3 linked regions of the Rhinolophus ferrumequinum genome follow. The protein of the gene in region 2 interacts with the protein of the main gene of each other region in a pairwise test. Links are inferred from orthologs where the notes say so. Each region holds a gene or a part of one and is shown on either strand. Other genes may lie near its edges.

What was found.
Region 1: the proteins of KLHL42 (region 2) and SERTAD1 interact in binary tests that used the Homo sapiens proteins (3 or more experiments, as listed by UniProt). The two-hybrid records come from large-scale screens. The link is inferred for Rhinolophus ferrumequinum from reciprocal best matches to the Homo sapiens genes KLHL42 and SERTAD1.
Region 3: the proteins of KLHL42 (region 2) and DDI1 interact in binary tests that used the Homo sapiens proteins (3 or more experiments, as listed by UniProt). The two-hybrid records come from large-scale screens. The link is inferred for Rhinolophus ferrumequinum from reciprocal best matches to the Homo sapiens genes KLHL42 and DDI1.

Annotation. Positions count from the first base shown.
Region 1 is NC_046298.1:39,108,054-39,118,793, forward strand, and holds SERTAD1 (SERTA domain-containing protein 1), read right to left. Parts: upstream 4,980-10,740; 5' UTR 4,824-4,979; intron 3,106-4,823; coding exon 2,389-3,105; 3' UTR 2,050-2,388; downstream 1-2,049. UniProt on the Homo sapiens protein: Acts at E2F-responsive promoters as coregulator to integrate signals provided by PHD- and/or bromodomain-containing transcription factors. Stimulates E2F1/TFDP1 transcriptional activity.
Region 2 is NC_046293.1:38,442,445-38,453,682, reverse strand, and holds the start of KLHL42 (kelch-like protein 42), read right to left. Parts: upstream 4,975-11,238; 5' UTR 4,842-4,974; coding exon 3,970-4,841; intron 1-3,969. Other genes in the region: MANSC4 (MANSC domain-containing protein 4), read left to right, coding at 11,039-11,238. UniProt on the Homo sapiens protein: Substrate-specific adapter of a BCR (BTB-CUL3-RBX1) E3 ubiquitin-protein ligase complex required for mitotic progression and cytokinesis. The BCR(KLHL42) E3 ubiquitin ligase complex mediates the ubiquitination and subsequent degradation of KATNA1.
Region 3 is NC_046294.1:73,278,065-73,288,282, reverse strand, and holds DDI1 (protein DDI1 homolog 1), read right to left. Parts: upstream 3,883-10,218; coding exon 2,683-3,882; downstream 1-2,682. UniProt on the Homo sapiens protein: Probable aspartic protease. Seems to act as a proteasomal shuttle which links the proteasome and replication fork proteins like RTF2. Required, with DDI2, for cellular survival following replication stress.

The sequences.
Region 1 (10,740 bases), on a different chromosome or scaffold from region 2:
AATGCCTATGCAGGGGAACTGGCCTGGGGAGTGTCGTGGTGGGAATACACAGAGGCTCTGTGAAAGGCAGCAGCAGTGCCAGAGCTGGCGGCTCAGCAAGGAATGGTGTGGGCCCTGGAATCTGCTGGCCTCCTGGGGTTGAGCCTGAAGGCGGAGGGGCACACCAGAGCTAGGGACCCTGCACAATCTTCCAGGGCTCGACATGGGGAGACTGGGGCAGGTCCTCAGGCATGAGCAGTTCATAAACCTGAGGGCAGCAGGGGGATGGGACAAGGGCTGATGTAGCCCATATGGTGCTTTTATACAAAAGACATGCCCCTTCCCCGAGGCACTTGATCTCCATCTGCTGGCAAACTGTCATAATAAATATGTAAATGCATGATGTCTGAGATATGTGTGGTAGTCCCTTAAATATGGAGACTATGTGCAGTGCACAAACTGTGCAACTGTACGCAGAGGTTCTGGGGAGAAGGGGCCATCGCTGGCCAAGCAGGCACAGAGGCAGATGGGAGCATCATTGACAGGTGGGTTGGCTGTCTGCATCAGTAGGTATTACGATTATCCCCCAATTTGGCACCCAGAGACAGTAGGAACAGGCCCCCAGGGTGTTGTAAACAGGGCATTGCTGATCCCACACTGGGACTCCTGAACCACTGGACAGATCTCCAAAGAATCTAAGGCAGTAGCATCATAGACCCCCAGACTGGGCACCAGGGGGCATTGCTGAGCTCCACCTAAACTCCCAAGGTCTGGGTCTGGGTCGAAACGGAATCTGAGTCCCATCGCCCAGGGGTTGGAGTCAGGCACCGGAAGACCTTCAGCTTGGACATCAGGTCCCGTCGGGTCATTTCCACTCCCCTCCCGTGGCCGCCTCATCCACTTCCAGAAATGGGTACGACTTCCTCTGCTCCTCCAGGAAGCTCCACTCTGCCCGCCCCTTCCCGACCCGAGGGGCCCGCCCGGAGCTGCCGGCCTCCCCGAGTTCCACCCAGCTTCAGCCTCCCTTAAGCTTCCGGCCAGAGGGAAGGCGGTGGGGCCCAACGATCCTGGTGTCCCCTGTCGGCGTTTTCCCGTTCGAGGCCCAGCCGGCCCCTCAAGTCACCATCCGGCCCTCAGCTCCTCCTTCTATCCCCCGCCCCTCCCCCACCAGCACCCTGGGCGCTGCCCTGCCCCCACAGCCGCCAGGAAGGACGCCGCCTGGGTCCCGTGCCAGGCCTCTGAGTGTGCGGCCCCTCCCAGCGGGGCCAGGAATGCGGCTGGACCGCGGGGGCGGCGCAGACACCCGGCGCTGAGGCCAGCCCTGTCATACAACACAGGCAGTCAGGCAGGTGGCCTCAGCTCGCCCGGGCCTGGGTTTCTTCTAGAAGGAAAGCAGAACAGCCTGCTGTTCAGTCAAGCCACCAAATCTAGTGGCTTTATTTCTAAGTCAGCCTCCAAGCAGCCCTATTCCCTGCCCAAATTGAGATTTGAGACCCGGAGTGAAATTTATTTTTTAAAAGTTGCTGGAGTCTCCCTTTCTGTCACCATTTTCCTGGAGAAGCTGCCTCTCGGAACTCCTTGGAGAGGCTCCATCCAGCCTTCAGCTTTGTGCTTTTATTTCTAGCTCATTCTGAAAGCTCCCTTTTCCCTCTCTCCTCAGCCCCCCTAGACTCCAGGCAATGACTAGATTTCCTTATTAAAAAGTGGCCTGGGGCCCCCCTGCCACCACCACTACTATGATACACAGGCACACCAGGGAAACCTGGCTGAATATGTTCTGGGGAGTTTTCTAGAGGGCCAGTTACCAGACCTAATTGTCTGCTTCTGAGACCAATAAAACTGTAAAGTTCATGGTTTGAAACCCACCTCCTCAAGTGATGAATTCCTGGAGCCTCAGTTTGTCAACTGCAAAATGGGGATAATAAAAAAGCCCATCTTGTTATGAGGATCAAATGAGTTAACACATGTCAAGTGCTTAGAGGTATGCCGGATACACAGTCCACGGTCAATCAATATTAGAGGTTATTGTCTCACCCTCGCCTTAACCCAGAGACAAAGAAGCACACAGACTTAATATTTACCAGACCTGGTTTTTAATTTCATAAAACTGGTTGGGGTCTCTTCCCACATCTGGGAGAGAGTATCCCAGGCTAAGACCTCCGGGGAGTCAGTCCAGCACTGGGCCTCGTCCAATCACATTCCAGCCACCAGGCCCTATAGTCCATGGAGGACTGATCCCAGACTCCTCCCATCAGCCTGAGACAAGGGGACGGAGGTGAAGCTGCCAGGGACTGACTGTCTCTCTGAAGCATCCCTTTCTGTTCTAGAGGAGCCAGCCATGTCTTTCCAAGGACAGTTGTTTCAGCCACCAGGCTGTTTGGTCACCAGATAAACATCCCAGCCCTGGGGTCAGCGCCCCGGCCCTGGTGGCCGCTCCAGTGCCTGTGTGCCCACCAGCACATCCATGAGGTAGTCCAGCTCAGCCTCATCCAGCTCCGGGGCTTGTTCCTTGACCGGCCCATCCTCAGGCCCAGGTTTGAGGCCCTCAGAGGCTGGTGCCCAAAGTTCACTGTCATACATGGAAGTGTCAATGTCCTCAAACAGGCCCTCGAGCCCATCGTCCAGAAGACAGCCAGTAGCTGGGCCCAACAAGTCCAAGGCACCCAGGCCAGGGGGGGCTCCCCCCGTGGGGCGGCCAGGTGGCCCCTCGTCTGCCAAGGGCTGGGGGGCCTGGCTTAAACCCTCGATATGACTGAGGTCCTCCAGGAGGCTGGCCATGGAGGCTGAGAGGGCAGCGTCTGAACTAGCCAGCAAGTTGTCAGCCATGCCAGGGGCTGCAGGCACACTAGGCACAGGTGGCAGGGAGGCTGTGGGCACCATGGATGCCTGGATGCGCCGCAGCGTGTTCACTACCAGCACCAGGTGCCGCAAGTCTGGCTCACTCTGCCGCAGACTGTGATGAAGCTTGAGCACTGAAAGGTCAAAGAGGGAACTGGAGGCCACGGCCGGGGGTGCCTGTGCCACTGCTGGGTGGCTGGGATCCAGCCACCAGGCGTCCACTGCCAGGGCTTCCTTCTCCTCCTCCTCCTCCTCCCTCTTGCGCTTCAGGCCCTTGCTCAGCATCATCTGTGGGGAGACAAGTTCTTGAGTTACGGAAAGCCAATGTCAAGTTCAAACCCTGGTCTGACTACTGCTGCCTGTATGATCTTGGGCAAGTCACTTATCCTCTCTGAACCTAGGCTTTCTTAGAGAACCTTTACTATATGAATGATAATAGTCTACTTCCTAGAGTTGTTTTAAGGAATATATGAGATAATATCCAAAAACCACTACAACAGTGCCTGGTACATAGCAATTACTCTTATTCATAAGCACTATTATTATTAAGTATTATATTTCTTCAATGAACCATGTGAATTGTCCAGTATTCAACTTTTTTAACCTATAAAAGCAGCTGTTTCACATAGTTTAATCTAAGTTTATTGAGTATGTACTATGCATCAGACAATAAACAAATACAGGAAATGTACAGATGGTGTTAGGAAGATACTAAAAGGTTCTGGGGAGTGGTCAGGGAAGGCTCCTCAGAGGAGATAACATTTGAGTTAAGCTCTCAAGCATGAGAAGGAGTCAGCCATAGAAGAACGAGGGGAAAGCAATCCTAGAAGAGAGAACCACAGCAAAGGCAAAACAAGAGTTGGAGGCAGGATGAGCCTGTACTGAAAAAAGGCTAGTGTGTGCCAATTATACCTTAAAAAAAAAAAAAAAGACCAGTGTGGTCAGCGCACAGAGTGGCAAGGTGGGGGCAGGGGGGTGGGAAGGGTGGAGAATAGGCAGAGGCAAGGAGTTTGGATTTTATTGAGTGTGGTGGGAAGTCATTCAGGAGTTTTCAGCAGGAAGGGGAGTGGTGCTGTGAACTGATTAGGTTTCCAGAAGCTCCTCCTTGGCTACTTCGAGGATGGTGGTCGGGGGTGTAGGGAGAAGGGGGAGATCTATTCGGAGAGACTACTGCACTCTTTGGAGCAATGACGGTGGCTTGGAGTAGAGGGTGGTAGTGGACATGGAAGGAAGTTGGTCGATTCAGGATTTATTTGGGAGGCAGAGTAGACAGAGCTTGCCGGGAAATCCTGATGGGCACGGGAATCACTGAGAAAACTTTGAGGACCCACACTTTCCTTCGGGCGGGATGTGGGGGGGTCCCTGGAGTTCTAGACCACTGGCCCAAGCTTTTTTTTTGAGGAAGACAGCCTGCACGGTCCAGTCCCCGGACCCTTACCCAGTAGGACCTTAACAGTGACCCCTCATACTACTCAGAACTGGGTCCTCGTCTCCTTCCCCGTAGACCCGAGAGTCCGGAACCGCAGGAATTCAGCCCCCACCCCCACTCTAACTCCGCCCCCCTGTCCCCGCGCCCCCTAGTGGCCCCAAGCGGGCCTTCCCCCGGGGATTCCAGCCCCTCAGACCCCAGGACCCTGTACACCGCCCCCCGTCCTGGCTGTCGTTCCTGCCTGCCTGCCAGGGCAGTGCAGGCCAGGATCCCGTGGGCTGCTTTGCCCTCTCGGCCTCCGCTCGCTACCGGAAGGCAGTGGAGGCGGCGCCTCCCGAAGCGGCGGCGGGGGCGGGTGAGTCACGCAGCCGGAGCCAGAGAGCCGGCGCCTCCGCCCCCTTCCCGGGCTGCGGCGTGATTCACCCGGCCCGGCCAAGGCGGGCGGCATTTAGAGGCCCGCGCTTCTCGATCCCGGTCCGTCCCGGCACGCACCTGCCGGGCGCGGGGATCGAACCTGCCAAAGACTAAGCCGCCGGTACCCCTTCATTCCCTAGGCCCCTTTCCTTCATTTACATACCCAGTTCACCAGCTGCCAATCAGAACGAAGAGGGAGCCACCCGCAGCCAATCAGGAAGCGGCGGCGGCAGCATCACTTGCTAGCTCTCCTTCGGCAACCGGCGCCTGGGTCGCGAGACGTAGTTCTGACTCCAGCGCACGACTCCAGGCTCCTGACTCCTCTTAGCTACCGCCCACTACCGTAGCGGCCCCGCCCTACACCCAGGGATTGGCCCTGGACGGTTATGGGAGGAGCCTGTAGGGGGCAGGTTCGAAGGGAGGGAAGGTTGTATTCAGGGCGCATGCCCGGGCTCCTGCGTAAGGGTAGAGTAGAAGGTAGGGTGGCTCTTTGCTCTGGTAGGTTGTGGCAGGGAGGGGGTTTTTGCTTATCAAGGTGCAGGCCACTCACACCAACGCATGCGCTTGCCAAACTTAGCAATTGAGCTTCTTACACACCCAGCCCCAACAGGGGTCTACACTCTAGGCCAGATAGGCCTGGGTTCAAATTCTGACTCATCACTCACTTGATGTGTGACCCTAGAAAAACGCTTGACCTCTTAACCACACGAAGTCTATTAAATGGGGATCTTCTTGCCTACCTCTTGAGTTAGGAAAATTAAAATAAGATCGCATCCGTAAGAGCACTATACTAGACTCGGCAAATTTTGGGCAGTTGGACTCAAAGGTGGGAGTCAAAAGATGAGAGTGGGGGGATGCCACTGGGGTCGTATATTGGGCGCCATTCCCTAAGTAGCTGAGTGACCTTGAGCAAAGGTTTTAGTCCCTTAGAGTCTCGGTTTCCTCATCTTTATTAAAATGGAGATAGCATCTGGTGCAGAAGATTGATTTAAGGATTAAATTGAATAATTTGTGCAAAATGCTCAGAGTGGTGCACAATGTGTCCTTTTGTTAGTAGTAATAGCTGTTGTAGTGATAGAACAGGCACTTAGTTCAAGGGGGAGCACGTGGGATGGGGTATAAGTAGACAGGAGTTTAATACTTGTCTGATAGACTGAAAATGGGACTTACCTTCTTCAAGTAGAGTAGATCATTTGCTAACTCTGCTGGAGCTGTGGGAAGAACTGTTAGTTGTGAATAACACTCCTGGCCAAAGTAAGTGCTCAAAAAGTGCAAACTATACTATGCAGCATTATTTATAATTGCCAAAATATCGGAGCAACCTAGGTTTCCATCGATAGACGAATGGATAAAGAGGATGTGGTACATATTGTCAATGTAAGAATGTTCAAACCTGTAGATAATTTTTATGAGTTTATGTGAGCCAAACCGACAACATGCTGGGAAGCAAGATCTCAAATGCTCCCTCCAGCAAATGACAGTTTTGCAGCGTCTATTATGCATTTGGAATTAAATATGGAATATTTCTTCATCTTTTCTAAGTGCTAGAAATCTTTCATAATAAAAAGAGGGTAAAATGATCATTAGAGCCAGGCCCATGCTAGGAAAATTCAAATTATTTCCCCCACAGCCTATCTTGTTGGCCAGGAAAAGGAAGCACAGTCTCCAAGAGGCTTGCTCCACGTCGTACATGGAAGAGCTCACAAGAGTCATTTGATTAACATGTACAAGAATTTATTGACCGCCTACTAGGTGGTGTACACTGTTGTAAATGATGGGGTATACTGGATAAACCTCACAGGGTCTCACTTCTTATGGATTAGGGGAGGGGTGGAAAGAAAAGAAATATGAAAAGAGGTGACATGGAGTAGAGACTTGGTGAAATGAGAGAGGTAGTGAGGAAGGGTCCAGCCAGAAGGAAGGGCCAATGTGAAGGCCGGGTTGTGGGCGTGTGCTGGAGGCCCGTGTAGTTGGTCTGTATGCTGTCGGGAGCAGGTCAGAGACGTTTTTAGGCCCTTCTGAGTACTCTACGGACCTTTGTTTTTCATTCTGAGTGGGATGAGAAGACCCTGGAAGATTAATAAATGAGGAAGATAATCTCTGCCTCCGTTCAGTGACTTGAAGAAAACAAAATAGGATGGGGTTAATAGAGAGGCTTGGGGAGAAGTATCTGTAGCCAGGGTGGTCCCGTGGAGGTGACTTTGAAGCTGAGACCAGAAAGTGGAGAAGGATCCTGAAATTCAAAGAGCTGGGGGAAGGGAGAAGGAAAGAGGCCGGGCTTTAGGAAGTGAAACTAGTAGCGAAGCTACCGGGCCCAGCAGTCCTGGGGAGGAGCCTCAGCCAGCTGAGAAGGGAGGGGGATGGGGGAGCGCCCCGCCCTAGCCGGCTGCCCCACCCGGCCTCTGGGGAGGGAGGAGGCGCCGGGCCGGCTCCCGACTGCCGCCGCCTCCGGGTATCCCGCCCAGAGCGAGCCCAGGGCGGTGGGTGGGCAGCGGGGAGAGACGGGGCCTCCCTGCCTATGCCCTTAGGTGGCCGCGGCCCATCCTCCACCGAAGGACAGCGCGGGAGGGCAGGTTGGGGAACGTGGACTCTGCCCTCGGGACCCAGTTCTCTCTGCCGTGCCAGCCTTTCCACTTCTCTCGCCAGTTCTTGAACACGGCAGGAGCTCGCTCTCTCTGAGCCTCAGTTTCTTCATCTGGAAAGTGGGGGTGCTCCTCATACTGGCCTCACTGTGGTTATCTTTAGAGCAGTTAAGGAGAGCCTATTTAAACGGGAGTCAGGTCTTGCCCCCCCCACACACTCTGCTCAACACCCTCCTATGGCTACCATTTCACTCAGCGTGGAGTTCAGGTCCTCCCTGTGGGACTCCCTTAGACCTTACATGATTTAGACCCCTCAGCACTTTCACCTCCTCCTAGTACTCTTCCCTCTTGCTCACTCTGCTCCAGCCACACTGACCTCCACACCCTCTCTCAAATGCTCCACACGTCGGAGCCTTCACCCTGGCTGTTCCCTCTGCCAGGATGTCCCCCACAGATTCATTTGGCTCACTTCTCACCTCCTTCAGGTCTTTATTCCAATGTCACCTTGTCACTGAGGCCTTCTTTAGCCATTCCATCTACATAGCGACACCCCCTCATCACATTCCTGCTTTCTTTTTCTCTACAGCATTTGTTACTTACCTTTTGTGTTTATTTCAGCCTCCCCCCACTATGATGCTATATGAGAGCAGGAACTGTTTTACTCACATGCATGGAAGAGTGCCAGGCCCACAGTAAGCACTCAGTAAATTCGAGCAATTATTGGAATCCTCAGTGTGCATTAGGCCCCCTTTTACACACTTTGCACAGTCGCTTAATGAGGCAGGTAATACTCCACGTCTTGATGTTGGGACATGCTGGTGTATTTGAAGGATGGCAGAGAATAGTGTGGCTGGAGCATGGGAGCGAAGGAGTATGGGGGAGATGAGTACAGAGAGGTGGCAGGGAGGGTTGGCCATGGTGAGATCAGGAGTTCATTTTTTCAACAATAGCAAAAATGGACTTTTTTTTGAGTGCCCACCTGTGCCATGCATAGTTCTACTCACTGGGGGATACAGCTGGGCTAAGACCGACGAAACCCCTTCCTCTCAGTTTCCAATAAACCAAGAGGCAACCATAAAAAGGTAATAATTTGAGCTTGAATAGGTGCTACTATGAAAATCAAACAGAATGTGATTAATCAAACAGGGGTGGTAGTGCATCTGGACATGTTGAGCTCGGAAAGGCAGGGAAGGCCACTGAGAAGGGGAGAGTTGGATTGGTGAAGCTGTGGGGGAAATGTCTTCTGGGGAGTTAACAGCAAGTGGAAAGGCCCCAGGGACAAAATTAGGTTGGGGTCAAAGGAGACCAATGTGGCTGGAGGCGAGTAAGGGACAGTGGGAGACTAAACTGAGGAACAAGACTATCAGGTCTCAAAGGCCTTGGTGAAGTTGGGATTTTATTGAGTAGGAGAAGTCACTGTAAGTTTTAAGTAGGAAAAAGACACGATCCAGTGGGCATCCATATTGAGATGCGGAACTTCTGTGCCTTCTTGAGATCCTCTGTACCACCTCCTCTTTCTTGATTGGCACCTACCTGTTAAGTTACCCCACTGCTTTCAGACTTCAATGCAATGCCCCTCTAAGGGTGAGAATCTGGCTTTGAGCCAGAAAGCACAGGCAAAATCCCCCTCCTTTCCCTGCCTGTGGACTATGCCAAGGTGTGGTTCCTCCTTGCAACGCTTCCAGAAAAGTCCCTAATGCGTAGTCACCTGCTGCCATGTCCTCAAGTGTTTGTGGAAACATAGCCAGTTCAGCAGCAATGTTATCACATTGTATCTTCCCTAGCCTCTCTTCTCTTTTCCCCTCACTCTCACCAGCCTGGGTTTGTACCTACCAAATAGTTAAAAACCATAACTTTAGCCTGGCTCTACTTCCTAACCTGGTTTTCTGAAAAACCATTCAGCACTGGGAATCTTTGGGCATTTTTCTCCTCTGGGGTTCAGCAGCACATTTTATACAAATGAAAGGGTTGACAAAATTTTAACTGTCAGAAAGTCCTATCCTGGGCCAACCTGGTGGCTCAGGTGGTTGGAGCTCTGCGCTCCTAATGCAGAATGTCGTGGGTTCGATTCCCACGTGGGCCAGTGAGCTGCGCCCTCTACAGCTAAGATTGTGAACAACAGCTCTCCCTGGAGCTGTTGGGCAGCCGTGAGCACCGGGAGGTTGGCCTAAGCTGCGGTGGGCTGCCTCGGGCTACTGTGTGCCACGGTGAGGCGGCCGCAGCAGCCAGCCAGAGCTGCCAGGAGCTGCTGTGAGTGGCCAGACGACTGGCGACCAACTGCTTCAGTGGGGGCGGGGGGGGGGGTCAGGGAGCACAAGGCTCACAATACCAGCATGGGCCAGGGAGCTGTGTCCTACACAACTAGACTGAGAAACAGATTGAACCGTAGTGGGGGGGATAGGGGAGGTGGAAGAAGGGGGGAAAAAAAGTCCCATCCTTTGACAGGTAATTGACCTGACTCAGTTTCTCCAGGTGGCTGGGGAGTCTAAATCTACCAAGCAGCAGCAAATACAAGTTGAGAACCAGGCTCTCGAAGCAGATTAAGTTTCAGTCCTAGCTCCCTGGTACGGCTTATTAGCTGGGGGACCCTGAACAAGTGACTTGGCCTCTCTGAACCTCAGCCTCCTATGTAAAACATGATTACAGTATCTACTTCTATATGAGGATTAAACGGCTTAATTAAAATAAAGTGGGTAGAATAGTGCTCTTAACAAGCACTCAATAAACGTTATATTTAATGATGTACTTCCCCAACTTTGGCAGGGAAGGGGTACAGGTATCTAGGGAACTTACCAGATCACTCCCATTGACCCACTGAAGTTTAGAAACTTTAGACAACACCATCCCTTCCAAAATATTTTTATTAAAAAAAAAATAATTACAATCAAAAAAACCACCACAAAACCCACCTTTCTTTTAAATAATGTGGCATGGAGCAGTTTGGTTTCCACCCTATTGCACGTGGTCCGGCCTGGTTATGAATCAGGAGGCTGCTGGGACTGGGGTCCCACCAACAAGGTGGGGTTCTGCCTGGGGGGAGGAGGCCAGCCCCTCCTATTCCCTGGAGGTAAAAGAGGCAGAGCCTGGGTTTCCATAGCAACCAGGCAGTCCACCCCAGTCATCATTTGACAGGCCCAGCTTATCTTCCCTGAGGCCCCAGTGGTCACAAGGGGAGTAGGAACTGGAGGGCAAGACAGAAGAAATGCGGAAGTGGGAAATCAGACTCCCAGAAACAGGGTCTCATTAAGGCATTTGGAACAGATAAATTAATTCAGGAAGACCCACCTTCACAGAAGGCTATGGTAACCAGACACACGCACACATGCAAGACTGTTTGTGGAACCCTGAAATGGGAGGCGAGGAAGAGCCCCCACCAAAACACACAGGAGCGCGCGCGCGCGCACACACACACACACACACACACACACACACACAGGGTTGCACCCTGGGATCCAGCCCACTGAGGCTGAGATGTGAAGGGAGCATCCCCACCCCACC
Region 2 (11,238 bases):
GGCAATATGTGACTTCTGGCTCTTCCTCAAAGTTAAAATGACCATGAAAAGTAAACATTTTGCATCGATTCAGGACATAGAGGCAGCCATAACAGTGCAACTAAAGACACTCAGAAAGAGGACTTCCAGAAATGCTTCAGAAAGTGGCAAGAATGATGAGATAAGTGTGTTCAAAGAGAGGGGGAGTATTTTGAGGGGGATTAATGGCAATGTGTCGTTTACTGTAATAATTTTTTTATTTAAACATTCACTGTATTTTATGATCACACCTCGTAAGCACTGATTGAATAAGTAATTGAGCTTGATTGAAAAGGAGAGAGACAAACAAAAAATTTCAATTCAAGAGGGGGCACAGGGTTTGAACATTTAGCCCAACTGAGGGTTCAGGAAGGTTCTCCTGGTTGAGATTATGTCAGATCTGAGTCAAAGCATGAGAGAGATAAAGAAGGATGCAAACTCCAATATGGCATCAATAACCAATCAGAAAATAAAAAAATGGAAAAAGTATTTGTGTAGGAAAAAAACAGTAACTGGGAAATACCTAAGACTAATCCTAACAAAAAATATACAAACTCTCAAAGATAATAAAAGAAATCTTTCTGAAGGACCAAAAGACCTAAATAAATACCTGGAAAAACAAACCATTTTTCTGTAAAGTAGTATAAAATTGTGAATCCTCTTCCAAATTAATCTATCAAAGTTATGTAATCACAATCAAAATTCCAGAAGGATTTGACAAGCTGATTTTAAAGTTTACCTGAAGGAGAAGATGTGTACAAAACAGCCAATTAAAATAGAACAAAATGGAACAAAGGGGTCTTTGTGCTACTTGACAATAATAAAATAGGTTAGCAAGCTGCATTGATTTTAAAATGTGTTATTGATGCAGGAATGGCCAATCTACCTATTTGAAAACAGGAAAATTGGCATTTGATAACTGGTTTTGCAAATTACAGTAAGACGAACTGAGGCTATTGTGACGTTTAGAAAACATGTTATAACCTTACATTATACCTTACATGAAAATAAATCCTAGATTCAGATTTAAATGTAAAAAGTCAAAAGTATAAAATAGGCCATGAGATAGATAAGTACTTATATATTCTTAGCTTGTAGAATCCTTTACTATGCAAGATTAAAAAGCTCAGAGAACACACACGACAAATTTGACTACAAAGGAATTTAAAATTTCTTTATATAAGCCAAGGCCAGTGCTGTACTTTGTTAGGTCTACAAGGTTTTTATCATTGCTACTGATTTGTTCGTTTTTAAAATGGAGTAAAAAAATCTAAAAAATCAGGATATCTGGAGTTCCCGCCACACCATTCCTCGCTTCTACTTGGCAATAACTTGCTGTGGCTGAGAGGTGGAGCCCTCTTGTGGTGGGGCAATAGCTCTCTGGTTCATCCTAACTCCCACCCTCGACCCACTGATTTCACCTGCCTGGTCACTCCAGGCATTTCATTATTGAACTTTACAATAAAATAAACACAGGGGAAAAGCTGGGCAATATTACTTAATAGACAAGAGATTAATATCTACATACATAAATATAACTTCTAAAATAAATATGAAAAAAATGAGTCAATTTTTTAAAAATTAGTAAAGGCCATTTACAAAACTATACAAATGGCTGGTAATAATATGAAAAGAACAATCTCTCAGTCAGAGACATTCACCCCAGTGTTTTTGCCCCGTAGGCTGGTAAAAATAAAAAATGATGATAATATCTTGGCAAGAGTCTAGGGAACTGGCAAGTTCAAACTCTGTTGATTAGACAGTGTTTGATAGAAGAGGAAATAAGAACAATTTTTTTGATGGGCAATTTGGCAGGAGCTACCAAAATTTTAAATGTACAGACACTGCCCCACCTCTCCAGGGATTCTAGGAATTTGCCATATAGAACTAACTTTAAGATGCCTAGCAAGATATGTACACATATACCAAAATGTCCACTATAGCAATGTTTGTAATGGCAAATGGAAGCAATCTAACTGCTCATAAATAAGGGAAGCGCTAATTACATTACGTACTTCCATAGGCTGGAATACTACACAGCCATTAATAAGAGTGAAGTGAATCGACATTTGTTGATATAGAAAAAACTGTCAGATACAGTATACTGTTAAGTAGAAATATCAAGTGCCGTAATAATCAGCTAACCTAATCAATTTGAGTAAATATATGTATAAGTATGCACCCCCACATGTACATGCATACATATATACATTTTCCGTTAAACACTATCAATATACTTATATTTATATGACTATACATTTAGTTTATAAATATAAATATGTATTTATAAATTTATAATATATAAGTATGTCTATAGATAGACATATTTTTTAGTCTATAGTTTTTCGTGTCATTTGCAATTTTTCTAAGCATATATTCCTGCATCATTCGAATACTTTTTTTTTGCCCAAAGAAAAAAGGGGCAAAAAAAAGACTACCAACGATTTGTGAAGAAAAAACAAGAATTTATGAGGTGTTGTGTTAGAGCTATGGAGCTGGAGGTTGCACCAATTGATACAATTAGAGACACGTGTAGAAGTGACAGACAACCAGAGGGGCCTTCCACCCCTAATCTGAGCACCACTGAGTGTTCCTGTGTTGCTTCAATTAAAGCTCCTAGAATTTCTTTTAAAACAACACTTCTAATAACAAATTTTAAATATGGTATCATCTCAACAGTGTAAATAATGCACTAAAAAGGGGTTGGAAGAAAATATGCCAACTTGTAGATGGTTATTCCCTCTCAGAAGGAGGCAGTAGCAGTGATAGCCTTTGTGTTTCTTTATTCTTTTCCATTTTTCCATTTTTCTAGAATATCTATATACTATTTTTAATCATCAGAAAAAAGGAATGCTTTCCAAAATAAATGTTATATTATAGTAGAAATAAAGCCAGTATTCCCCCTGGTCTGGGGGCACCCTAGAGTCAAGTAAATATATGTAATGGCCTCCCCATTCCTATTAAGAATTTCTTTGACAGGCGGTGAGTCCCTCGACTCCTTGCTCCACACTTCAGGGCAAGACACATAGTGGGACTGGAGATGGATACAGGTGGATCAGAAGAAAGGGTATTCTTGTTCTTTCTTGAGTTACACTGATTCTTCTCCCCACTTCTGAATGGCTCTGGGCCATCTTGTGCCCGACCATCTTTGTTTCATACCACCCCTTCCTGTATTTGCTCTTTGCTCTTATTTTCCTATTCCTTTCCTGATTCCTTTATCTAACTCTCCCCCAATCTCCTCCTTTTCTCATCTTTTTTTCATGTCACCCAAGTTCATGTCTGGAGGGATTTGCAAGATGGGAAAGGAGAAGGTTGGGATGGATGGAAATATTCTAACAGTGTAGGTGACCAGTTCCAGGCTGAAACTTTGGGTCAATAACAATGCCTAGGAAGGAAGTGAGATGAGAAAGAGAGGATAAAAAATAAGAAAGGCAATCCTACACAGCTAATGTTAATACAATTCTAATCTAATGATTATCTCCTGATCATAGATTGGTGCCCTAGTGTGGAAGACTTCAAAGTCATTAACAACAACAAAAATCCCCCAAGGTCAGTGTTACAGGTTGCTGTCAATGTGTCATCATTATCAGATCCTAAAAAATAAAAAAAAAATAAAAAATAAAAGCAAAATTAAAAAACAATTTTATTTTTAAGTATCCTTCTGGAAAACCACAATGTTTTTTTCCACTGGGACAGGGGCAAAGAAAGCAGTTTGCCTAAAGACACAATACCTGCAAGGAAACTACTCAGCTAGTTGACTTCACTGGGGCCTCTTCATCCTTGAAAGTTCTTATTCATTGGGAACTTTGCCAGAGTCAAGGCCAGCCACACTCCTGAAGATGTCATTCCCACCTCAGCACAACCTCCTGTGACTGCTCAGTAAACATTAAGGGAATGAACTAATGAACAAGTGAATGAATGAGAAAGCAGCAGCGCTCGCTGGGTGCTTACCTCTTCTGGTTCATGGAGGCCACCTGGAGCCACTCGTTGGTGCTGGGATTGTAGGAATGTGCAGCGGAGATCTCCTGGCTAGTGATCCTGTACCCGCCCACTATGAAGAGGTAGTTGTCCAGGATGGCAGACCCGTAACCCCTGACATTAACCAGGTCAGGAGGAAGGTTGTTGGCCAGCGGGAACCAACGTTCAGTCATCTCCTCGTACCTGAGCATGGAGGGGGGCTCCCCCTGGTAGGGGTGAGGAGCCAAAGGCCCCCCCAAAAAATCCCCCAGGGCCACGAGGACAGGAGTCCCAGTCATCCGGCCCTCTCTCAGCCTCTGCTTCAGGCTGACATCCCCTGAGGCCTGAGCAGGAGACCCCAGGAGGTGGAACTGAGGCTTGCACAGCACCTCGTGGAAGTGGATGACCATGAAGCGCAGGCAGGCCTCCTGCAGGTCGGGCAGCCCGTACACCTGCGCCAGGCGGTATAACTCCAGGCAGTTGGTCAGCCGCACCTGGGACAGCAGCAGCTGCAGCAGGGACGTCACTTGCAGGAAGGAGGCCGCTTCCACCAGCTCGGACAGCAGGCTCACCTCGTCCATCTCCTCGTCCTCCGCCGCCCCCCCACCCTTCTCTCCCCGCGGGCCCAGGAGCCAGCCTTCGCGGGCTCCGCCGGCGTTGATGAAGTCCAGCACCAGGCGCAGGCCCGGGGCGCTGAGGCCGCGCAGCTGCTGCACTTCGGGGCCGCCGGCCTCCTGGCTCAGGGCCTCGCGCATGCCGGAGCGGTAGAGGGCGCGGAAGTAGTCGCTCTGCTCGATGAGCTTCCTCTTGCTCACCGGGTAGCAGCGGTCCTCCAGGCGGATCTGCACCATCTCCTCCGCCGACATGGCTGGGGGACCAGGGGCCGCGGGGCTGCCCGCCAGTTCTGCGCGATCGCTTCCCCGCCCCCGCGCTTGCCGGGTTCCGAGTTGGGCGCGCCGGGGGATGGCGCCCGGAGGAGGAGGCCGGCGAAGGGCCGCCCGCTCCCTGCCGCGCTCGCCCAGCCTGTGTGGGTCGCGGCAGCGCCCCGCGAAGCAGTCCCTTCTCTTGGTCCCGGGTGCGGCAGCTCAGCCTCGCTCCCCCAGCGCGGCGGCCCTGCCTTTCTGGTCCGGTTCAGAGCCAAAAAAGGGCCGGCTGGCGCGCGCCGGGAGTGGGCAGGCGGCCGCCGTCCCTGCGCGGGTTGTCCAAGGCCGCGTCAGGCGGGAGGGGATCCCAGCCCCCAGCCTGCAGCCTCCTCCCACGGCGCGCTTCGCACTTCCGCCCGCAGGACCCCTGCCGCCCGCCAGACCTGCGGACGGGATCCGGCTTTCGGGAAGGGCTGGAAGGCTGCGGGCCTCTGGTGCCCCGGCGGGGACCGCGCGGGAGGCGGGAAGGTGCGGCCCCGCAGCCTCCCCCGCACGCCGGGCGCAACGCCTCTGCAGCCTGCCCGGGTCTGCAGCGATGCTCGCGAGGGACAGGAGACGAGAGGAAGCCAGTCTGCTTTTTCTTCCACGCTGCTTTACAAGAGAGGAAGAAAAAGGCAAAAGGAACGGGAGTGGGGGAAAGGGATGAAGGCAGTCTGGGGTCCAGGGAGTCAAAAAGACATCACATCTGGGATCGCCCATCTGGCCCAGTCCCTCTTCGTGTCCCAAGGGGTTAAGGCTCACTGGCCGTCTCTGGACATGTAGGTGGCACTTAGAGCTTAGTCTTCGGCATGGTCATTGTGTAGGAGCCATCTTGCAGAAAGAAAGTCCAGCCGGACGGCAGCAGGTTCTGCAGGACTCAGCGCAAGGGGTGCACGGGGGAAAGCGGTTTGGAAGCAGAGAAGCCTGTGTTTGCTGCTGGGGCCTGTTATCCTTTTTATGCGATTAAAAGAAAGCACAAGTCGACTAAATAAAGTTAGATCGTGGGCCTTCTTTTAAAATATTTCCTAACCTATGGAAACGTCATTGCTTTCCCTATTTCAACGTGGTTGGGCGAGCCATTACGGAATGTTAGCTTTGGACATAAGGTCAGACCCCTTCTGCTCATTTTTGCCTATGGAGGTGGCTTTTCTTGCAACCCTCTTACCCTTCCTTTCTCTAACCCCGCCTCCCTCAGTCTGAGGACTACTTAAGGAGAGCTTCTTCTCCATCTTCTGTCACCAAACATTGCAAAAAGAGAGCTCACCCCAAATAATACAAAGGATCTTGTGTTGCTCATGAGCTATGAATTAATCCTGAGGGGCAGGGGGTATTATTAGGGTACCTTTGAGTAGAAGGAGGGATAGGATTGGGAGAGAGCAGAGGGTGTGTTTACTCTTACCGTATAAAAAACCCTTGAAAACTTTCCCAGACCAAGATGTGAGAACCAACTATAAATGTCTTCAACTTGGAGATAATATGAGTTTAGACTTTATTTTTCTTATTACAACCTTCAGCTTTCTTCTTGAATGACAAGTTGTTAAATAATACCTTCATCATAAATACATTTCCCTTATTTAAAACGGAAGAGACCTTCTCCAATAGTGATTAAAATTTTATGTTACCAAAGGGCAAAGGTTAAAAACCAAAGAAGAACGTCGTATCTGTAAAACAAGATATCTTTTCAACACATTGTTTGGTTACATTTGTGCTTCTTTCTGTGTAACTTAGCTGCTTCATAGTGAGGTGATGTCATCCAGTTTTTTCTTTACACCATGAATATAAAACTAGAACTTGAAAGACATGGGGAAAATTCTACTAGATTCTAGCCTCCCTGGGAAAATGAAAGAAATAAAGATGAATCTATGACTTGCCTCTTTCAGTGTGCTTAGACTCTGAAAAGCTTCTAGTTTTTCACCTCGACCTCGTTTCACCTGGCCTTTAAATCATTACTGATAAAACCCCATTCTCACATGGACCTCTCACACTTGTTCTCAATGAGGGTACAGTTTGAGACATTCTAAGCTTCTCTGGGTGAGTGACCATGAACTTAGCAACCTCTTTGGGAAGGTAAAGTGACATGTCCAGTATTAGGCATTTAGCTGGGGAACTTGTGCTGGAAGGGGCCCCCTGTATCAGAGATTTGGACCATCAGTGACAATGCGAGATTCAGTGGGTCAGCCCAGAAAAACAGTCTCTTTAGAATCTTTCACCAATGGATGCTTGTTTCCCAACCATATCTATGAGGCAATCATAGATATGCCTCAGACTGGTATTTTGCCTTTTAAAAACAGACCCCCCCCAAAAAAAAAAAATCACACTCAAAGAATGATGTGCATTAGAAAGGCAATTCACACACAATAATATTACCAGATCAGCTTGGACACAGAATCTGGGATGTTAGTTTGACAATACTAGGCACTGATCCTGTAAGTTATTTGTCCCCAACATGATAACGACATTTAGGATTGGAAGCATCTTAAAACATCAAATTATTTTAATAACATACAGAAATCTTTCTGTTAAGCTAGAAATGCAGTCAGAGCAATATAAACTCCTTTATTTACAAAACGAACTAAAATATTATTTTCAAGCTTCATGAAAATATTGCTTATATGTAACTGGAGGCATAATTTTATAGATCTCTTATTGACTGATCATTAAATCATAAAGACTGAACTTTGTGGTAATTATGATTCACTTTAAGCACTTTACATCATGATCTGTTTTACAGAAAACTGAAATAACGGTCACAGAGTTAGGCTATTTCTTTAAGAATTTATGAAAAATACACATTTTGACCTAGAATGGAAAAAATTCTAAGTACACGATGTTTATCACAATGTTGCTTTTAATAATAATAAACTGGAAAACAGAATATATAATAATAACAGTTAACATTTAATGTTCATTATATGCCAGGCACTGTTGTACTTTACATGTACTATAATAGTATTTTTATACAGTTTTATAGCTGAGGAAGCTGAGGTACAGAGTAAATTTTGGTACATGTATAGAATGAAATACTGCAGAGTTACAATTTTTTGATGTAGAGAAAACTTTCTTTAGAGATTACAACTTTTGATGTAGAGAAAACTTTAGAGACACTGAAAAATATAATTTTATACTGTATTTTTAAAAAACAGGTTCTGAAATAGTATGAATCCATTTGTCATGTATCTGTTTTTGTAGAGGATGTTTACCAAAATGTTAAGATTGTAAGATCTTGAATAGTTTTTACTTCTTTTTGTACTTTACTATATGGTTTGGATTTTTTTAAATAAATGTATATAAATGTATTAAAAGCAAAAGATTTTAGGAAAATTAAAGACATATTTAAATTTCTCAGGCCCCATTTCTTTAAAACAATTTCTATCAATTTTATCAACTGATGAAAACATTAAGTAAATAATACAACTCTCATTTTTAAAATAACGATGAAATATTATTTTTCAAACATCTTGTGAATTTAGTCAACCTATGTGATTACTTCACATCTACTTAAAAATTATCTTTATTTCTTAGTCCCTCTAATATTCCTAAAATAACTTGTTGTTTTTTAACAAGCAATACCAAATTTTCCTTTCACTAAAGCATATGGGCCAATTTAAATGAGTTAAAAGTAGTACAGTTTTTAAAACAGCTCTATTTAATTCAGGTTGAATGTCTTCATGTAGGCAAAACTTCCATTTATTTCAGATGCTTATATCAATGTTTTCCAAACATCTTAGAAAATTACCTGGGGCACTTATAAAAATAAGAATTCTGCTTCCCAAACCAAAGCTACTGAAGCAAATGAGTGGTTTTTAAAGTAGAAATCTAATTTTTGAACCCCTCTGAAGAGTGCCCAATTGGAAATGAGTACAACATATCACTGCAATGCAATAGTACAGTGATTCTGGATATTTGATACAATTTGTACAAAAGGTACTTAGCAATGTCTTATTCAGAGTTGTAGTTGCGTTCTGGTTTCTGCAATTTCATCTCCATGGACAAGGTTTGAGATGCTTCTGGGCCACACATATCTCAGCCTGTTGTGTATTCCTCCCTCCGCCCCGTAGTCCAGTTTCTGTCTCTCCTTGTCAAAATACTTGGCTTCAAGAAGTTACTCATTTCCAGACTATGTTTAACAGTTTAAAAAAACAAAAATGTTTTTAAAGCTTTAAAGCATGCTTTTACATTGGAATTTGTAGATTCTTTAAAATGCAGCTTTGACCTTCACTTGAACATCATTTGATAGCAAAAGGAGTAAACAATTGTGGATTGTTCCATTAGTCCTGCAGGGAACATGAGAGCTTTGAGGAATTACATGTCACACAAAAGAAACTACATTTAATGTGACTGAAAGATGTGGAGGTTAGAAGGTTAGAAAGTAGACTTTCCGGTTTTTGTCCCAGGCCATGAGCTAATCAAAATAGCTATGGAATCTCACAGAAAAACAGGGAGTAATTTTTTGTTCATCTGTCCCTTGCTTTGCCATTAGGAAACTGCTCTCTCCCCTCGGAACATATGGAAGATTGTTTGCAGGTAAGCAACCAGAACTCGCTTTCTATGAGTTCATTAGAAGAAAATATGTTACCACTTTCAGTGTATTTTATGTGGTTTATGCAAGGTTAGGAGTTAATCCATAATATAATTTTTGCTTGCAAGAAAGTGAAATGTTTTGTTTTTAAAGTTATTCAGTCTTTGGAATATTTTCCTCTTTATTATCAATTATTAATATTATATATTTCTACAAATCAAAAGATGTGGTAATTAGGCTATTACTGGGAAACAGGTGAAGAGATGAAAGTTCAAAGAATGTTAACATTTTTTGGTCAAGTCTGAATGAATTATTGTGCAAAAAAGGTATGAAATAAACACAGAAAAAAGTTAAAAAAAAAAAAAAGCATAGTATTGTACTTTATGCCCAAAGCTGCTTTGTATAAAAATGGATACAAAGAAACAACAGTTTATACTTGGAACTAACTTGTCATCTTGGATATATCATGGGATATAAAACATACAATCTTCATGAAAGTAAGAGGCCACTTTCACTACCTTTAATATCTTTTCAAATGTTTTGGCATTGCAATTGAGGTAATTTTATTCATATTTATAAATTTAAAACCATTTCCCTATTTTCCTAATGCACGTTTCTTAGCAACTCCTGATTCAAGCACAGACACTATGCATGTATGTGCTTCACAAAGCAGGCTCCTTTATAACTTCCAAACATGAATTTCAGAAAACACATTAGACAACCCTCAATTTGAACTTCTTCACAATTTTCACTGTGAATTACACTTTTTATTATTGATTGAACAATATACACCTCAAGGGGTACTGTATTCTACTACATTATGAAGCTGTTCTTTTTGCTGAATCTTTATAGTCTTTTAAGAACGCTTCTGGCTGGCCTTGGCAAAAAATGCATGGCCCTGAGAAGTGACCAGGATCCATATTCAATATTTTCAAAATTAAAATTTAAAATTTTTATTTCATTTTCAGTTTTCATTGACTTTCAAGATTATAACTTGTTTTTTTTTAGTAAAAACAAAAATGTTAAACCAGTGCACAAACTGGTTTTCTAGTGAACCTGAATACTAGAATTCAAATTCAAAAAAAAGAGATAATTTTTTTAAAAAATCTGTAGTCACAAGTTCCTTACAAACCACTCAGAAGTGCCCTCACAAAACAATGTCTTATTTCTCTTGAAATGGATCCTTTCTTTATCTGATGTCAAGTGACTAAACTATTGTTTTCCTCAGAAAGACTCTTAGCTAGGATTTCCACTTGTCTTTATGTTTACTTAGTAAAAGGTGTTTGTGACTATTCATTTTCAGAGAAAGAAGAAAAGCAGAGGAGAGAATCTACGTCTTCAGGAGGCTAAAGGACAGAGTATTGAAATGGCCTGGACAGTGTTCAGAATTAATGCCAGCAAGTCAAATCTTCACCTGGGGCTCAACTGGGAAGAAACAAAAGAAAAATCAATATGCAGTCAAAGAACTGCCTCATTTTTCTAGAAGGTGACCTCCCCCCACCACCCACTCCTCAGAAGAGTCCCAAGGAAGCTCTCCCTTAGCAACAGCACCGAAAGTTCCAGAAACTGTCCTAAACCCTGATGGTCAGCTCCAGCTTGTGTGTGGAAATCAGACTTATTGCCGAATCGTCTTACCAGAGAAATGCACGTGGCAGTGGTGGCAGCAGACGTGATCATGCTCCTTAGCATGGGGTGGACCTCAGACTCTCTCTGCTCACCCACCATATTTTATAGAGACTGCTGGATCCGTCGCTTCCCAGGTCTTCTAATTGACCTGGAGGAGTCTCAGAAGATGGGAGCTCAGTTCTTGAAGTATTATTCTGAGAGCACTGGCCAGAAATG
Region 3 (10,218 bases), on a different chromosome or scaffold from region 2:
TTTGTTTTTTCCAATATTAATGATGGTCATTTTAGACATTTTGAAAGTATTTTTCTGGTGTATTTCTTATTTTAAAAATAACCCCCAAATTAAAGTTCATTCCGTCATTTGCACGTGACTAATTCCATGTACTCTCTTTTTGTTCTTAGTTGATTACAAGATTGTCTTGTACCACTACCAGGTTGTAAGCACCTTGTGGTCTGGAACTGTAATTTACTCATTCCCATGTTTATAAAAACCTGGCTCAGTGCTTATTATATGGGTGTCCAATAAGTAATTGTTGAGTATATTCTGATTACTGCTACTCTTGTCATTTTCACTGGTATTTTATAGAAATTGGTAGTTTCCATAAAATAAACTTGTGTAACAATTTTGCATCAGTCTCTAGAATTAAAATATGTCAGGTAAAGAAGGTTACAAAGTGTAAAGAACTTGGCATTTGAAATCAGAAAGACTTGAATTGGGCAACCTGGCAGGTCGTCAGTGTTTTCAAATTGTAGATCAGGATACCTTGGTGGGATACAATTAGTGGGATATAGCTAATATATTTTGTAAATAATGAAGTATATATAATAGTTCAAAGAAAAGTATAAAACATTTCATATTATTTATTTTTGTTTCTTTGTTTCAGAGATAGACCAAGTGTGTGCATTTGTGTGAGAAAGAGAGAGATGTGAAACTGCAGATTGTTGTCAAAAAAGTTTAAAAAGCAACCCACTAAGCTAGTGGATATTTCAATGTTTCATAATAAGTCTGAGCTTAGAATTTCCCATCTGTAAAATGTGGTTAATGACAAGTAGTTTGAAGGACTATTCTGAGATTTAGTGGTACTAATCTGTGTGAGGTACTTTATAGCAGCATACTGAGTCCTGCAGGAGATACCAAGGAGTTTCATGTTTTTATCTGGGAAGGAATCCATGCATTTGTCAGATCAATTCCCATCAATTCACAAGCATCTAATTGCTTACTCCTGACTTATTCTGAATTTCTCCCTTCATTTTGTTAATTACATTTGTCCTGCGTACTTAGTTAAAAACAAAAGTAGAAAGAAGTCTCCGTTGGTCATTTTTAGCCGTTCTTCTAGGTGTAAGCCTTGATGTAAATGGACAAGGTTGGGGAATATGAGCATAGGAAAACCAATAAAGAAGAAGAAAACCAGGAGGTAAACTGATGATGGCTGCAGGGGAAAAGATGACTCTTAAGGAAGATGGTGATTAATTTCACTAAGATACAGATCGAGAAAGGGATATAAAAGGATATGGTGATTATAGGGGAAGTTTATATTGTTTTGTTTTGTTTTGTTTTCTCTAGTCTTTCAGAATGGTTTGAGTGGCTTTAGATCTTTTTTGGAGAAATAGAAAAACTTTAAAGATATCATAGATCATAATATAATCTTCGTACTTGAAAATGGCTCTCCCCTCTGAAACAATTGATAGATGAGAAATCTGAATTGTGTATGTGAACTGATTTGTCTAAGTAATAGAGAGCTGGAATCAGAACATATATTTCTTGACTTTGAATCTAGCGCTCTTTCTAATACCAGTCTAGATGGATTATTGCCCTGAAACATTTTCCCTGAGTTTGATGGCCTCAGACAGTCGAACCTTTTCTCTCACATGTTTTAACCATGGGTTGTAATGAAGTCTAGGATCTTCTATTTATCACTATCACTGGAGAGGAGCTTTGTCAGATGGATCATAGAGCTGAATGAGGCCTTAGAGATCTTCTCATTCAGAAGTTTTCAAATGTTATTTTAAGAGTGAAAAACAATTTTTGAAAAATATTTATGTAGCAGTTTAATATACAAAGCAGATTTTTAAAACTGATCTAGTTGAAATGAGTATTAAGGGACCTGGACCACTTCCTGCCCCTACCTCCCACTCTCACCATCATAAAACTACTATGCTTCCAAGAAACACTATAATTAAAAAAATAAAAAATAAAAAATCTACTTGATTGGCTTTGTTTTACAACCAGGGTTTCTTTGAATGCAAGGGAAGAGTAAATTATTTTAAGTGATTCTAGGAGAAAAATCTACTTTCTCGAATATGCCAAACATAGCCTTGAGGAGTTGATCGCAGTGAGCATGACTCCAGGGGAGTCTAGGGGAAAGTGTAAAATATAAAGAAATCAGTGCTTATGCTATCCAAAGCAGACATTTGTAAGTATTGATCAACTCAAGAGTATAATTGACCCAGCATTTCTAATAACTTTCTCAAAGAAAACAAAATTTTTGACAACAGACATATTTCTCTGAATATAAATAATTGTTAGTGCTGATTCGAAATAGTTTTGTGTCGATGGTTGTGGGGTCTGCTGCGATGGTGTATTCCAATGAATTCTGCAAAATCACAACTAGTTTGGACAAGCCGCCCTGTAATCTGATGGGAGGATATCGCTAAAGGAAGAGGTAACTTTTCCGTTCATTGATTACCTGGTAATCAGTTGGAGCCTCCAGAGCCTTCCCAGGATCAGGTTCAGTGAACTACGGATGAGGGAAATGGAAGAGGGGGCAAGAATAGGCCATTATGATTTACATGGTTACAGCTATGAGAACTTGGTCCCAAAGCCAGATTTAGTTGTTACCGATGTTTTTAATGATTACATTGCCAGTGGGCTCATGTCTTCAAATTTCCCGGAACCTGAGACTCCCTTAAGTTGATGACTTATGTGTAACCCATTTCAATGTTTTCTTCGTCTTGCGTCCATGACCGAATGTTTGATATTATCTGCTACTTCAGTGACTGGAGACTCTTGTAGCCCAGTACCACTTACCAGCTTAGCACATGGGGGTAACTCTCCCTCAGGTAGAAAGTGAGTCTGTGTGCCAGTGGTGCCGATCACCAGCACGTTTTTCTTCAAGTCAATGGAACATTGATGTCTCCTGAGTATATCTAGCCCTAAAAGCATGTCCATGGGTTGCTCCTCAAGGATTGAGAAAGAGCATGGTAAGAAATCACCTTCGATTTGAATCTGAGCTAGATGAACTCGGCCAATAATTCTCTGTGTGCCCACTCCTTTAGCAATCCCAGCCCATCTGCGGTCTACCAGCCGTGTTATATTACATCTCTCAGCACAAGCTTGGCTCATAATGGTCATCTGGGCACCTGAGTCAACAAAAGCCTTCATAGGATGTCCGTTCACTTTGCAGTTGATATAGAGCATGGCCACTTGTCCAAAACTCTCTGGAGCCTCTTCCATCGCTATATTCATGTTTTCCTCAATGTTTTGCCGCCGGATTTCTTCTTCTATTTTGGCCTGAGCTTCCAAATCAAATGGGTCAGCAGAGTAGAGGTGAAGCCTCTCTTGCTCCCTCAGGGCCCTTTCCCTTTGCTGATCCATTAGGACCTGAGAAAATGTCTCAAGGTTTCCGCTGAGCAGGGCTTCGGCCAAGGCAGGGTTGCGTTCCTTCAGCAAGGACAGATCATGGGGATTGGAGAGCAGCATGCTTCGAATCAAGGCGGGGCTGTCCATACCTTGAGCAGATGTTAAATTCTCTCCGGAACCTAAACCATGGGTCTGCTGGGCTGACTGTGGACGCTGCTGCTGGTGTTGCTGCCGGGAGCCGGATGTCCCAGGCATGGCTACTCCATTGAAATCTATTCGAGGCAGGCTCGGTGTCCGTCCAGAAGTCCGAGGTTCCACATTCTCCGTCTGAAGTAAAACAACTACATCACCATCTTTGAGGCCATAGGAGCCCAGGGAACTGTGGTCATCAGCGAGGAGTCGCTCCATGTAGACGATCTTGATCTCTTCAGCTGGGATGCCGGACTCGAGCGCACAGAGAGCACGAAAATTGTGGAGCTCCAAGTCAGAGCTGACTTGGACGGAGAAGGTTACCTCTGAGAGGTCCCTCCGCACACAGTACACAGTGACCAGCATGGCATGGGCCCAGGCGGGCCAGGTGGGCAGAGGGCATTTGTTGTGCACTGGCTGACTGGAGCTGGTCTCGGTTACTGGCTCAGCTGCTCCTCACGACTGGCTGCCTTCATTTAGGTTCATTTACCTTTCCAAGAGGCTCAGCACTTACCAGTCTGAGGGCTGCTTGCCAGCCTCAGTGCCTGCTGCTTAGCCTGGTGGAACCCTGGGGTATCATGTTGTGTTCCAAAGTTCATTAGTATGTGTGCTGCTTGGAACTTAGAATGTCCACTCCCCTAGAAACGAAGTTACTCCAATCCATTGGGTTCCCAGGTTAGCGCTTCAGAGCCTATTTAACCCATGATATGAAAAAATTTCAGCTCTTCCTAAACAACATGTAAACATACATTTTGTTCATTTGAGCATTGTAGTCTTCGTCCTTTTATTCCCCAAACAGTGAGTGCTTGGATCCTACATAGAAAGAATCATGCTATGTGCTTAATGTGAGAGGTAGGTCAGACTTAGTGCCTGTCCTTGAAGATCACATTCTCGGGAGGGATCAAAGGTTAATCGGTAAATCAGAATACTGGAGATAAGTGCTTTTCCAAAGACACGTTCAGTATACTAAGGGAACCAACAGAACGAAGGACATTTCTCTAAAAAGGAAAAAGGATGTTGAAGGATGAGCATTTTCCATGTGGAAAACGATGAGAGTCACTCCAGACAAAAAGAAATGAATATACAAAAAAAAAAAAAAAAAAAAGAATTAATGACAAGGCCTATTATTTCTTGTGAAAAGTGAAACAGTCAATGAAATGGAAGAAATTTGTATATGATTTTAAATGGCAGGATATGAAGCTGGGAAAGAAAAGATTGGAGCCAATTTACAGAGTCATATATTAATCTAAGGAATTTAAATATTAGCAGTAAGCAAGATTCCCCCCTCAAAACTTGTGAGAAAAGGAGGGAATAAAAAGAGTAAAGAGAAAGGAAAGGAAATGTAAAAGATTTGATACAGGTATTTGTGAATTTTTTTTTTTAATTTTATTTAATTGATTTAAGGAAGAGGTTTCTTGCAACAGATGGAGGACATATGGTGGCAGGAGGGACAAATAGACACTTTCTTAGTGGCTCAAAGAGAGAGCTGTTGCTAGAATATTATGGAACTATAAGGAAGATTAAAGCTGAAGCTGCAAAAACTAAAAGTGTTTCTTGAATAGAACGCACAGGATATATTTACCCATAGATGTGGGGAGTGTACAAGAAGGCGTGTGTGTGGATAACACGGGGGGTCTCTAAAATGGGAGACTGGTTAGAAATAGGCCATTACCTTGGATGGATGAATGAGATGAAACTTTGAGGAGACCGATTTGACATCAATTCTGTGTGAAATGCGTGGGAATGCCACACTGGACGCTGGATATGCCTAGCCCCCGACCCTAGGACAGTACCCCCAATCCATATACTCCAGAGTGGAGGCTCACAGAGAAAGGGTAAAGAGGTCCTTGAGAGCAAATAATGATTGAGTAGAAATCCTTGGGTGTCAGTTCTTTATGTTTTACTAAGTATTTTGCATTATAAAGAGCTCTTGCTTCCCTGGTTTGATCTTCCCTTGTGTATCTACTCATGAACCAAAAGATAGCATCTCGTGCCAGGTTCCCCCACGCCGCTTATTGCAATTTTTGCCAGAATACCTGCACCATTACTTAGAGGAGGATATTGCATCAGCCTAAAGAATTTATTTATTTTTTTTTTGGCTCCTGTTTCCCATGTGTTTCCCTTGTGTCTCAGACTATATCCCACTCATTAGTCTAATTATCATAATGTTTCCATATTCTTATTCATTTATATTGGAAATGTTAACTAAATACTATGTATGAAGCATGTGCTAAGGTCTAGGGATACATACACAAGTAATGTGAAACGTAGGCTGTGTTCTTAGAGTTCACAGCCTAAAAAAGGACATGTGCACAAGCACACATACAAATTGGGGACTTAAAAAAATACCACAGAAGCTGTCACAGTGTGGGAAAAAGTAACAATGTCTGGAGAACAAATGAAGAAGATGGTGAAGGCTATTGCTCAGGGAAGGCTTCCTGAAAGAGATGGGCTTAGAAAGGTGACAAGACGTCAGCCATGTCGGGATGGGTCGGGATGGAGGAATAAAGGCTGAGGAGAGGAAGGCCTGACTTAGAGCCTGTTACTAGAATGGCAGCACTTCATAACATGGAGGACTTTATAACATTTTAGGGGAGAAAAATCTAGCACTGTATTTTTCCCATAGAAAATTATGAATTTTTTAGAACTATTCTTTACTGTCTCTGGAGGTAGATGGAACTTTGACCCAAAAATATTAAGTTAATACATTTCTTCTGTGGTTCTTAACATCCTGGTAAGTTCACCAGAGATCAATAATGGTTTAATCGTTTCTCCTGAGATTGCCACATGCAAATCACTCTGCTACAGAACCAATAAGAAGCCAGTGAGGCTTACATTCCATGTTTCTCTTTTTTTCTCCCCTACAAATTTGGACAATTTGTTCTTAAAATCTTAATAAATTAGGGCGATAATTCTAGGGTTTTGGTTTCTTGAACAGTGATGACATTATTTTGTAGAGTAAGGGTTTTGTTGTTTATTTTTGATACATATATGTATATGTATCTCCATTGCCTTCCTTGGTACTGAACATAATTAAGTTCTATGTGGTATGTTTTATCACCTTGCTGTAATTCTTTACTTTGGTGGCATTTTGCATTTATGTGCTTATTACTAATTTAGCATTTACTGAGAACACTCAATGGAAATCAAAGAGCCTCGAGGTCTGGCCAGTTAACTGTCACCATTCCATGGATCACTCGATGTCAGGATTGGCAAACATCCTTCGGATTCTCTAGTCCAGCCACCCATCCAGGCCTTAAAACTCTCTTGCAAAGCAGCCTGGAATCTAAACAGATAAACACAGCCTCCTGGGATTGTCTAGTACTTCTGTTTATTTTCTGTTTGATTCTTTTATTTTACTCAGCACTATTGGTGAGTTAACTGTCATATATGTAGTTCTCTTACCCCTAAATTTTAATTGAAAACCTCTTTTGATTATGTAATAAAGTTGGGGGTTATTGGGAGTATATATAAATACTGCTAAAAGTAAAATGTTCTTATCCCATAAATCTCTATTGCACAGTCCACTGAGAAATGGGTCCTCTGAATTATCTAGGTGTGCTAAGCTAGGTATCTGAAGGTTATTGCAACTTTTCTTAAGGAGGCTTTTGTGAAGTATACTCCCTTAATTTCTTCCTTGGTAAGTACAATATAGGAACATAATTGAAACTTTCTTTGATAAGTGAGACTCCTGCAAGTTCTCAGGGCTATCACTCAGAAAATCAATTCTCATTGTATAGCCTAAATACCCAGAAAATAGGAAAGATGACGCTGATTTCATACTGGCCAAGTAAATAACCCCAAAGTTATTTTTTGGAACTAATTTACAATAATACCTTTCATTATTTGCGTCTTTATAAAAACTTGAAGCAGAAAAACAGAAAGAAAGAGAGAGAGAGAGAGAGAGAGAGAGAGAGAGAGAGAAAGAGAGAGAGAGAGAAAGAGAGAAAGAAAGAAAGAAAGAAAGAAAGAAAGAAAGAAAGAAAGAAAGAAAGAAAGAAAGAAAGAAAGAAAGAAAGAAAGAAAAACAGAACAAAACAAAAAAGCAGATAACTGATGGTTCCACTTAGCATAGTCAGTTGATGTTTAAAGTACCGTCTCTTTCTCTTGCTTTTCAGAGCAAAATAAATGCCTTTTCAATGAGAAATAAAAAGGAGTATCTGCATAAACGTTATTATATAGCATATACAATAATTAAAAACATGTTAAGCAAGTATATTAGCTTGCTGTGTTTGGATTTCTTCCTTTATATGACTGCTATTACTTTTAAAATAAAGTATAATCAAGACTTATTTACAGTTAAGTCATCATTTCTGAGTTTCTTTCTTTTTTTTAATTGATTATATTCCCTATATTTTACCTCCCCATGACTATTTGGTAACTACCAATTTGTATTTCTTTATCCCTTCACCTTTTTTACCCTGCCCCCAATCTGCCTCCCATCTATCAGCCCAATAGATCTAGTGCCCATCCGGCACCATAGATCGTTATTACAATATTGCTGACTACATTCCTTATGCTATACCCTACATCCCATGACTACTGTGTTACCACCAATTTGTACTTCTTAATCCCTTACCCTTTTCACCTACCCCCAACCTCCCTCCCATCTGGCAACCATCAAAATGTTCTCTATCTATGAGTTTGTTTCTGTTTTGTTTGTTTGTTTATTTTGTTCTTTAGATTCTACTTACAAGTGAAATCATATGACATTTGATTTTTCCTGTCTGACTTACTACACTCAGCACAATACCCTCTAGGTCCATCTATGTTATTCCAGACGGCACGATTTTGTTCTATTATTTTATGGCTAATATTCCATTGTATATATGTACCACCTCTTCTTTATCCATTCATCCATCCAGGGACACCCAGGTTGCCTTCATATCTTGGCTTATATAAATAATGCTGCAATGAGCACATGGATGAACGCATCCCCTTGAAGTAGTGTTTTGGATTTGTTTGGATAAATACCCAGAAGTGGGATTACTAGGTCCTTTTTTGTCTCTTGTTATAGTCTTTGTTTTAAAATCTATTTTGCCTGGTATAAGTATTGATACTCCAGATTTTTTGTTTGTTTGTTTGTTTCCATTTTCATGAAATATCTTTTTCCATCCCTTTACTTTCAGTCTCTGTGTGTCTTTTGATCTGAAATGAGTCTCTTGTAAGCAGATATGTAGGGGTTTTCTTATCCATTCAGCTCCCCTATCTTTTGATTGGAGCATTAAATCCATTTTCATTGAAAGTAATTATTGATAAGTATGTAGTTATTGCCATTTTATTAATATACATCTTAAAAAAGAAGTCCCTCTAAGATTCCTTGTAATACTGGTTTGGTTGTGATGAACCCCTTTATCTTTTTCTTGTCAGGGAAGGTCTTCATCTGTCCTTCAATTTTAAATGGTAGCCTTGGTGGGTAGAGTAGTCTTGGTAGTAGATCCTCATTTTTCATCACGTTCAATATTTTGTGTGAATCCCTTCTGGCCTGCGAAGTTTCTGTTGAGAAATCATCTGATAGTCTTATGGGAGATCCCTGGTAGGTAACTAACTGCTTTTCTCTTGCTGCTTTTAGGATTCTCTCTTTGTCTTTAACCTTTGGCTTTCTAATTATGATGTGTCTTGGTGTTGGCCTGTTTGGGTTTGTCTTGTCTGGGACTCTCTGTGTTTCCTCGGCTTGTATATCTATTTTCTTTGCCATGTTAGGGCAGTTTTCTGTCATTATTTCTTCAAATAAGTCTTCAAGTCCTTGCTCTCTCTCTTCTCCTTCTGGTACCCCTATAAAGAGAATGTTGGTATGTTTGATGTTGTCCCAGAGGCACCTTAAACTGTCCTCAGTTTTTTGGGTTCTTTTTGCTGTTCTGATTGGATGTTTTCTGCTACCTTATCTTCTAAATCTCTGAGTCTATCCTCTGCTTCATCTAATCTACTGTTGATTCTCTGTAATATATTCTTCATTTCCATCATTATATTCTTTATTTCTGACTGGTTCTTAATTGTGTTTTCTATCTCCATTTTTATGGTTCCTTCTCTTTGTTGGAATTCTCCCTGAGATCATTGAGCATCCTTATAACCAGTGTTTGAAATTCTGCATTTGGTAGGTTATTTGTCTCCGTTTTGTTTGGTTCTTTCTCTGGAGCTTTGTTCTGTTCATTTGTTGGGGACGTATTTCTTTGTCTCCCCATTTTGGCAGCCTACCTGTGTTTGTTTCTATGTATTAGGTAGGTAGGGCTGCTATGTCTCCCGGTCTTAGTAGAGTGGCCCTATTTAGTAGATGTGCTGTAGGGTTCAGTGTCCCAGCTTTCCTGGTCACTTGAGCTGTTCACTCCAGTCATTTCCATTGTGGAGGTTGTATGTGCCCTCCTCTTGTATTTGAACTTTGGTTGCTATTTGCACATCAAAGGGAGGGATTAACCCTTGGGCTTACTGGTTGTGGGGACTGGCCTTGACTACAGTGGAGGTGTCGTGGTACAGGGGCTGACCTTACAGAGCAGGATCTGCCTCAGCAGGGCTCTGGTGGCTGCCCAGTCTGCCCCTTGAGTGTGTCATCCTTGGAGACAGCTGGGTGATTCTCCAGCTCGTTTTGAAGCTGGCTGCTGGGGGCACCAGCCCCAGGGGCACCTGGGAGGGGATCTGCTGCAGGTCATGTTCAGCAGCAGCCAATGCTCCACCGAGGGCCACCTAGTAGGAGCCACAAAGAAATCC